2 linked regions of the Diceros bicornis minor genome follow. The protein of the gene in region 1 interacts with the protein of each later gene in a pairwise test. Links are inferred from orthologs where the notes say so. Each region holds a gene or a part of one and is shown in the gene's direction. Other genes may lie near its edges.

Region 1 (3,748 bases):
TACTGGATCCAGCGAGAAATCCAGTCAAACCCTCAAGCTTTGCTATTCCTTTGTCTGAACACCATTCTGTTAAAACATCTTTTCTTCAAAAATGTTTCATACATTTGAATACCCCAGTTCACAGAGACCACATATTGGCAGCAGAGTTAGCTGTCTGTACTGCTCATAGACATCTTCTGTTGCCATTATTATGTTTTAAAACTCAGGAGCCCAGGAGAGTTCCCTTTAACATGGGAGCTTGTACTCTCCAGAGGGTCCTAGTTACCACTACTACCTATTGTTTTACACCAAGTAACCTTTTATTGTTACATGCCTAGCCTCTGCAGCCATTTGAATTAGCAACTTCAAGGGTTTCTTTTACATAAACCACATGCCCATAATACTATGCCCCTAAAGTCACCCAGATAGTGCATTCCCTAGTCTTGGGTCTAGAGTTTTGCTGTCCAAAACTGTAGTCAGTAGCCAAATGTAGCTATTGAGCTCTTGAATTGTGGCTAGTCTGAATTCAGATGCTCTGTAAATATAAACACTGGATTTCGAAGACTTAGTATGAAAACAAGAATATAAAATATCTCAGTAATTTTAAAATATTGATTACATGTCGAAATATTTTGAATACGTTGGGTTAAATACATTACTAAAATTAATTTCATATTTTTTACTTTTTAAAAATGTGGCTATGAGAAATTTTAAATTGCATAATGTGGCTCACAACCTATTTCTACTGGACAGCACTGGTCTAGAATATGAGAGCTAATCAGAGGCTTGGAAGAGAAGAAAATGAATTCTCCATTTATTATTTCTATTCACTTATTTGTTCCCCTCTGTTCTTTCAATTCACCTTTTGTCCCAGATGCTACTCAGTCTGAATTTACAGTTTGAGAGCAGAGACAGAAAGCCGTACAACTAAGCGTCGAGAAAGTCCCTAAGTAAGGATGTGTCCATAGGGCGGCAAGCAACAAGTACAAAGTTCAAATCACACACCAATGCGGTCCCCTTCCGCATTCAAGGCCGAACACGAGTGCTTACGTTTGATTTTTTTTTTTACTTTTATTTCCTATTTTGGTCGGGCGAACTGATGGGAGTGGGGCACCTGTGGATAAACATAAACATTTCAATGAAGCCAAGTACCAATTGAAAACCCAGTGTAGGGGAAGGACGGATGAAAACTTCCTGAAGGAAGGTAATGATACGGGAAGGTCAATTTCTGGCTTGCTCGGTCCATCTCTAACTACTCCGCATGCAGAAGGAAAGGCCAGGAAAACGTAACTTCTGCTAAGGGTGATACTGCTCTAAGTTTGAGGCACTTGGGAAAAGAAGGCCACATCCCTAATTTTAATTCCAGTGTAGGGTTCGCCATACTAACTTCCCCCAGCCCAGACTGTCTTGCCTACAATAGTCTTCCGGCTCTCCAGCCAGCTCAAGATTTTTCGCCGCCCTCGTCCACCTCCAGACCTCTCCAGGCCACCCCTTAGACGCCTTACGGCCGCCATTTTACACAGTATGTACTATCGCGAGATATAGTTAGCCGTCTCGAGCCTGACTCATTCACTCTCTTCCGAGAGGCGCTTCTTGGCCGTTCTCGCCGTAGCTGTGGAAAGTGTCGCGAGAGCTGGTTGCCTTGGCTCCCTGTAGCTATAGCAGCCGCGGCGGTTAAGGATGCGGCCGCAGGAGAGGTGAGTGCGACACCCTCAAGGGGGCGGGGCCGGAGGTAACGGGGTACAGAGGGTAGCGCCTAGGGAGGGGGTGGGGAAGGTCGGGTCGCAGGAGGAATGGGTCCAACTGTGACGCGTGGGGAAGGACCCGGGTCCTGTGGGTATAGGGAAAGGGCGCCAGTCTACACTAGGGCACGCGGGGAGGGCTGGAGCTGCTGGGAGGTCCAGGGGGAGGGACTGGGGTGTAGTAGGGCTCGAGGGGCAGGGGTCGGAGTGTAGAAGGGTGTGTGTGTTGGGAGCAAGAGAATTACAGGGACTCAGAACTGGCTAAAGGGACCGGGCTACATCGAGGAATAAGTGGGAAAAAGTGGGGTACAGCGAGGAGGAGGGTATGTTGAATGGGAACACAGAGATTGGGCCCGATTTGCTTAGCACTGGTGGGGATTGGGGGGCGCGGTGTCAGATTTTCGCAGCTCACCGGGGTGCGCCTGAGGCTGGTCGGGGACTGCGCGCCAGGACTGGGTCCTAAATGGCGTGGCGGGAATGGTGGCGTCCCAGACCTTCACTGCCCCGCGCCCCTACCAAAGAAATCCCCCACGGACTCTGAGGCTTGCTGTCAACACACACACCCTTCTACGCTCCGGCCCCTGCCCCTTGAACCCTACTACACCCCAGTTCCTCCCCCGGACCTCCCAGCAGCTGAAAGGAGGGTCCTGGTGAACTAGTATTAGTTGGGACGGTTTTTTCGGTGGAGAGACTGTGAGTGGGATAATGAATGATTGCTGCTCTAAAATAAAGTGTGGGGTGGGGGCGGGAGAAAGAAATTCTTGAGGGAAAAAAACTAAGATGTGCTTCCTCTGGAGAGTATTGAGTTGGAGGAAGGGGGTGTGTGCTAAGATCATGTTTCTTCCCAGATTCATTCAAGTGTAGAATTCCTTTACGGTGTACTTATGAAATTATGTATGCAGTGTAAAATCAGTTTAGATGATACAGTGAAAGGAAGTGCTGTACAACACTTAAACCTTCCACGATGTAACTTAAAAACTTAAGAGAAGTGTTTCTATTGCAGCAGCAGCAGGCTGAACACTAGGGTTAGTTTTAGTTGCTTGAATGTAAAACCTAGTGTTCCCAAAATGTGCCTGTTTGGTTATTTCCCTTTTAAGAAATGGATGACGTTTTATTTTAGGAGACAGAACAAGTTTTGAATATCTGTCAATCTGGAAATAAAAGGAGTCTCCCAGGAGTTACAGTCACGGAGAGGGCAAAACATTTAATCTCTGAGTCTCAAGGACTGTTTTCTAGAGACAGGTTTGGACCACTTTGCTTGTTAACTCTTTATCTAGTGAAAACAATGGCTTCAATTCAGACATAAAAAAAATTTATCGATTTCAATCAATAGATACAAGCTTTCTGATAATTTTTTTTTTTTATCCCCCCAAAACCCCAGTAGATAGTTGTATGTCGTAGCTGCACATCCTTCTAGTTGCTGTATGTGGGACTCGGCCTCAGCATGGCCAGAGAAGCGGTGCGTCGGTGCGCGCCCGGGATCCGAACCCAGGCCGCCAGCAGCGGAGCGCGCGCACTTAACCGCTAAGCCACGGGGCTGGCCCTCTGATAATTTTTTTCACTATCTTTTGTAGCTATAAATTTGCAGGGGATAACCTCTCTTTTGATTATTAACTGGATTTTCCCATGTTGAGGGTCACAAATTCATTAATTAGAATAATGGATTTTAAATCCTTCTAGAGCTAGCCTTGATGTAGTTATTCACTGAACCTATTTATTTGATATGTTAGACTAAAACTGTTAATTTGTAATGTTAGTAGGTAAACTTTAAAGTATAAGTGGTTTTCTGAGGCACGATAAAGGTTCATGTGGTTGGGTCCAAAAGATTTCTGCATGAATTCATTAATGAGCTTTACTGAGTTCCTGGTATGTGTAGAGTACTGTGTAAGGCATTGTAGGGGGAAAAAAAGGATTAATTCATTCATTTATCCATTCAACAAACATTTATTGAGACCTACTTTGTGTCTGATTATTCAGCCTTCAGGATACAAATACAAGTAAGCCTTGCTCTCTGCTTTGGAATTGTT
Region 2 (3,748 bases), on another chromosome or scaffold:
TTGAGGTCTCAGTCTTCCTTAGAAAGAATCTTAGAGATCATATACTTTATTTGTATTTTAACTTACTCATTTCAATATTTCTAAGATAATATTCTCATAAAAAATCCAAATAATAACATAAGTCCCTTTTGTTCCTTTTGGCCACCACCCAGTTCCACTTTCCTCTCCTGAGATAAGCAAAGTTAACTAGTTGTTACATATCCTCTACTCCTTTTCTGTACAGATACAGAAATATATGCAACTGTAATGTTATGTCTTTTAATATTAAATACATGATATCTCACTGTGCAAGTTTGCTTATTTTTTCACTTAAAATGTTTAAAGAGCTCTTCTATCTACATTTACTCCCACTCCATCTAGTTCAAGCTCCTCATTTTGCAGAAGTGGAAACCCAATTCTAAAGTAGTAAAATGACTTTCCTAAGGTCAGACAGCTACAAAGTAGGGACCAGAGCCCAGCCAGTACTTTTTAAATCAAATGAAAATCAATTGTTATTTATTGAAAAGAGTTTGTAGAAACAGAAAGCGGAAAAATCCACTCGGAATCCAATCTCTACAAAAGTTAAACCTATTCTTTTTCAGTTTAGTTTTTATTTGTACGCAGAACTACTTTTTTACATAGGTGTAATCAAAGCACAAATTCATCTGGTGTTCATTTTTTTCCACTTAAGTTAATCAGATGTTTATGTTACTACGAAGTCAACTAGTTACTTGGCAATGAATGGTGACCTAATACTTCATTGAGTAGTCAAGCCCTCTTCCACCAAACCAAGCTGCTTCCCACTTTACCCAACCCCTTCCTCTCATTCCTCATAGACTTTCAAGTCTCCCACTACTTGCTTCACCTTCTTCTAAATCCTGGGTCCGGTCCATTCTCATCCCCCTCAGAGCGCCCTCAACTCTTAAAGAGCTCCCATCTCCACCCTGGATGTGCAGGGGCATCTGCTTACTCTCCTGGGCCCGGGTTGCCTCGGGGTTCCCGAGGTTCCCAAGACGATGCTTCACGAGTTGGGCCCGGGAAGTCCAGGAAATGAGGGTCTCTTGATGACCACGCCCCAGGGTTCTATTTGGGAACCCCCGGAATTTACTGGAGTAAAGAGATAACGGGGTCATTGTGGGGTCAGGGTGAGGGGGCCGGGCCCAGCCCTATTCACGTGACCCGGCCCCGAAACAGAAGTTAGTTTTCCCACTAGAGAGGGCGCTGGGGGCGAGGGGCGGTTGGCCAGCCCCCTCCCCTCCCGGGTACTCCTGGGCGTCGCTCTCCGGCCCGGGCCGTGACGCAATCTACCCGCGCCGGGGGCGGGACGCGCTTGACGCCATCTCCGGGCGCCCGGCTGGGGGGCGCTGGGTGTGGGGCGGCTCCGGGGCCGGGGATGGCGGCGGCTGTGGTGTCGGCGGCTCCGGGACGAGCGAGAGGAGCCCGAGGAGCGCCGTGAGATGGGCGGGTGAGTGTCGCCTGGAGTGGGGACCGCCGGCTGCCCTCACTGAGGCCAAGCAGGCCTGGGCTCGGAGCTCCGGAGGAAGTGGCCCCCTGGAGCCCGTTGCTTCTCTGGACCGGGGCCCGACAACTGCGGACCGAGGGAGCGAAAGAGGCCGCGCCTAGACCCCCTTGCGCTTCTCTCCGGTCGGGCCGAGAAGGGAGCCTCAGGCCCTGGCGTCCCCGCCACTGTGTCTCCGCGGGCCGGGGTATCCGAGTCCTCCGGGCGGGAAGAGGCCCCCAAACAAGGAAGCATCCCCTCCGGGGCCTCGCCCCTGCCCCTCTGCTTGAAGGGTCAACCCCCACCCTCTACACGCAGAATTCACAATTTCCGCCCCTACCCTTGTTGGAGCAAGGATTTCGGATCATGGGAAGCCGTAGTCTCTAGTCTCTTCCAAGCTCCTCTCTTTCTGGCGGGCGCAGCTCTCGCCCTCAGCCAATTCGGGTCTCGGGCTGGGTTCAGCCTCTTGATTCCTGGCTCTGCTGGCAGCGTTGGCAGCTCTCTGGAATGGTCCCTCTTCCCCGTTAGTTCGGTTGGAGTCACAGTGCGTCTTCCCATTGAGAAATCCTCAGTGTGCCCCTTCAGAGGCCGAGGTTTCAGATTCCGAAATGTGTTTTGTGTTGTGGGAACCTGGTGCACAGGCTTGGCTCTTTGTTGTCATTCCTGCAGACCTCTTGCCACTTTAAGTCCTTTCATTAGCCTGTGTTTGGCTAACCCCTCAGTGACCTAGAGGCAGGTGTTCTTTAATGTTTTAGATGCAGGGAGCAAGGATCATTCTGGGATTGATGACGTGACCCCAATTTCTGTTGGGAGTGAAGGAGAAAGCTAAGTGCTTTTCAGGTACTGGAATTCAGGCGGAGAAGGGATGCAAGACTTGTACCCAGTGTGTAATTTGTTTATGGAACTAGGAATTTGTCTTTCCATCTTGTTTTCCCATCTCGTCATCTTTTTTTGTGCATCCGCACTTTGCCAATCTTCGGAGATAAATGTTGCCTTCAGTTTGATTTGAGGCTTGCAGTGTTCTATAGGACTTGATCAGCACAGTGGGTAGTTTCTCAGAGTACTGATCAGTACTGCTTTCTCTGTTATCAGAGATTAAGGCTCCATTCTTCAGTGCTTGATGTTTCTGGCATGTGTAGATTCACATATTGATGGTTTAGCGTGAGTTTTCTTCCATTGTTAGCTACCAAAGCTACCAGAGTTCCATTGTTAGCTACTGTTGGGAGGACCAAAGCAATGTTTTCAGTTTCTGTCACACCTGATTCAGTACTTGGTACAAAGTTGTTACTCAGAAAATTTGACACATACACACACACACACGCGAGCCCATTTTATTACTCTGAAAATCTGTTAAGAAGGCTTCCCCCTGAGTGACTCCCCCTTGACCTCTTTTTCTGCCCCAGAAACATAAATAATTGTTCTTTTTCCTCTAGTGCCACTTTTCTCATTTAAATAACCTCCACATCTTTGTTTTCATCGGCCCTGAATAAAAGCGAAATCTGTGAAGTTGATTTTTCCTGTTTCCCATTGTTCACATGGGAACAATGTTGAGTCTTCCACTTTTATTTGTGCATTTACCTGAAATTGGAATCGGAAGTAAATTTAACCTTTGGGGAATAGGTACACTTAGAGAATGAAGAATATGATATAAAGGAAAACAGTGAAGTTTGATACATGGAAAATTTTTTCCAGGGATGTCTTCCTACAAATTAGAGCTTAAGAGATGAATTTTTCTCTATTCAACTGCCTGAGCACTCTGGATATATGTGCTGTTATCTCTGGAGAAGAGGACGAGGCAGAGACTTGTGGGCTTTAATGTCTTTCTTCATGACCCTGGAAAGGATCAGAGGCTAGGCTCCTGCTTATTTTATTCCTATTTCTGTCTTTTAGGCTTCCAAGCCAGGGGGGAGGACACTGCTTCTTATTACAGCTGCTCAGAAGCACCACTGGAAGCTCAGGTAATACAGGTGCTTTGGATACCTTGTTGCAGAAAAACATCTGGGATTCAACAGTGGAAAAATAGAACAGTGTATAGAAATCTCTTTTCAGATTTAAAGAACTGGAGCTTGGTTGGAAGAAACAGGTGACAAAGTTTATATGCATTGGCGTGTTCACACCAAAAAGATACTTTATAACAGTGGACAAAAGTGTGTATGAAAGGTGACAAGAGAAAGGGGAGAGAGAACTTTCTTATGAATCATATAGACCCTAAGATAGAAATAAACAGGCATGTTTGGAGGAATGGAACCAGAATTTTAGGATGTGGTTTCT

The links. The genes of interacting proteins can lie anywhere in the genome.
Region 2: the proteins of USP54 (region 1) and ATXN1L interact in binary tests that used the Homo sapiens proteins (3 or more experiments, as listed by UniProt). The link is inferred for Diceros bicornis minor from reciprocal best matches to the Homo sapiens genes USP54 and ATXN1L.

Annotation. Positions count from the first base shown.
Region 1 is NC_080745.1:32,953,882-32,957,629, forward strand, and holds the start of USP54 (inactive ubiquitin carboxyl-terminal hydrolase 54), read left to right. Parts: upstream 1-1,200; 5' UTR 1,201-1,676; intron 1,677-3,748.
Region 2 is NC_080771.1:23,515,735-23,519,482, reverse strand, and holds the start of ATXN1L (ataxin-1-like), read left to right. Parts: upstream 1-1,359; 5' UTR 1,360-1,444; intron 1,445-1,494; exon of another isoform or gene 1,495-2,317; intron 2,318-3,367; 5' UTR 3,368-3,435; intron 3,436-3,448; exon of another isoform or gene 3,449-3,748. UniProt on the Homo sapiens protein: Chromatin-binding factor that repress Notch signaling in the absence of Notch intracellular domain by acting as a CBF1 corepressor. Binds to the HEY promoter and might assist, along with NCOR2, RBPJ-mediated repression.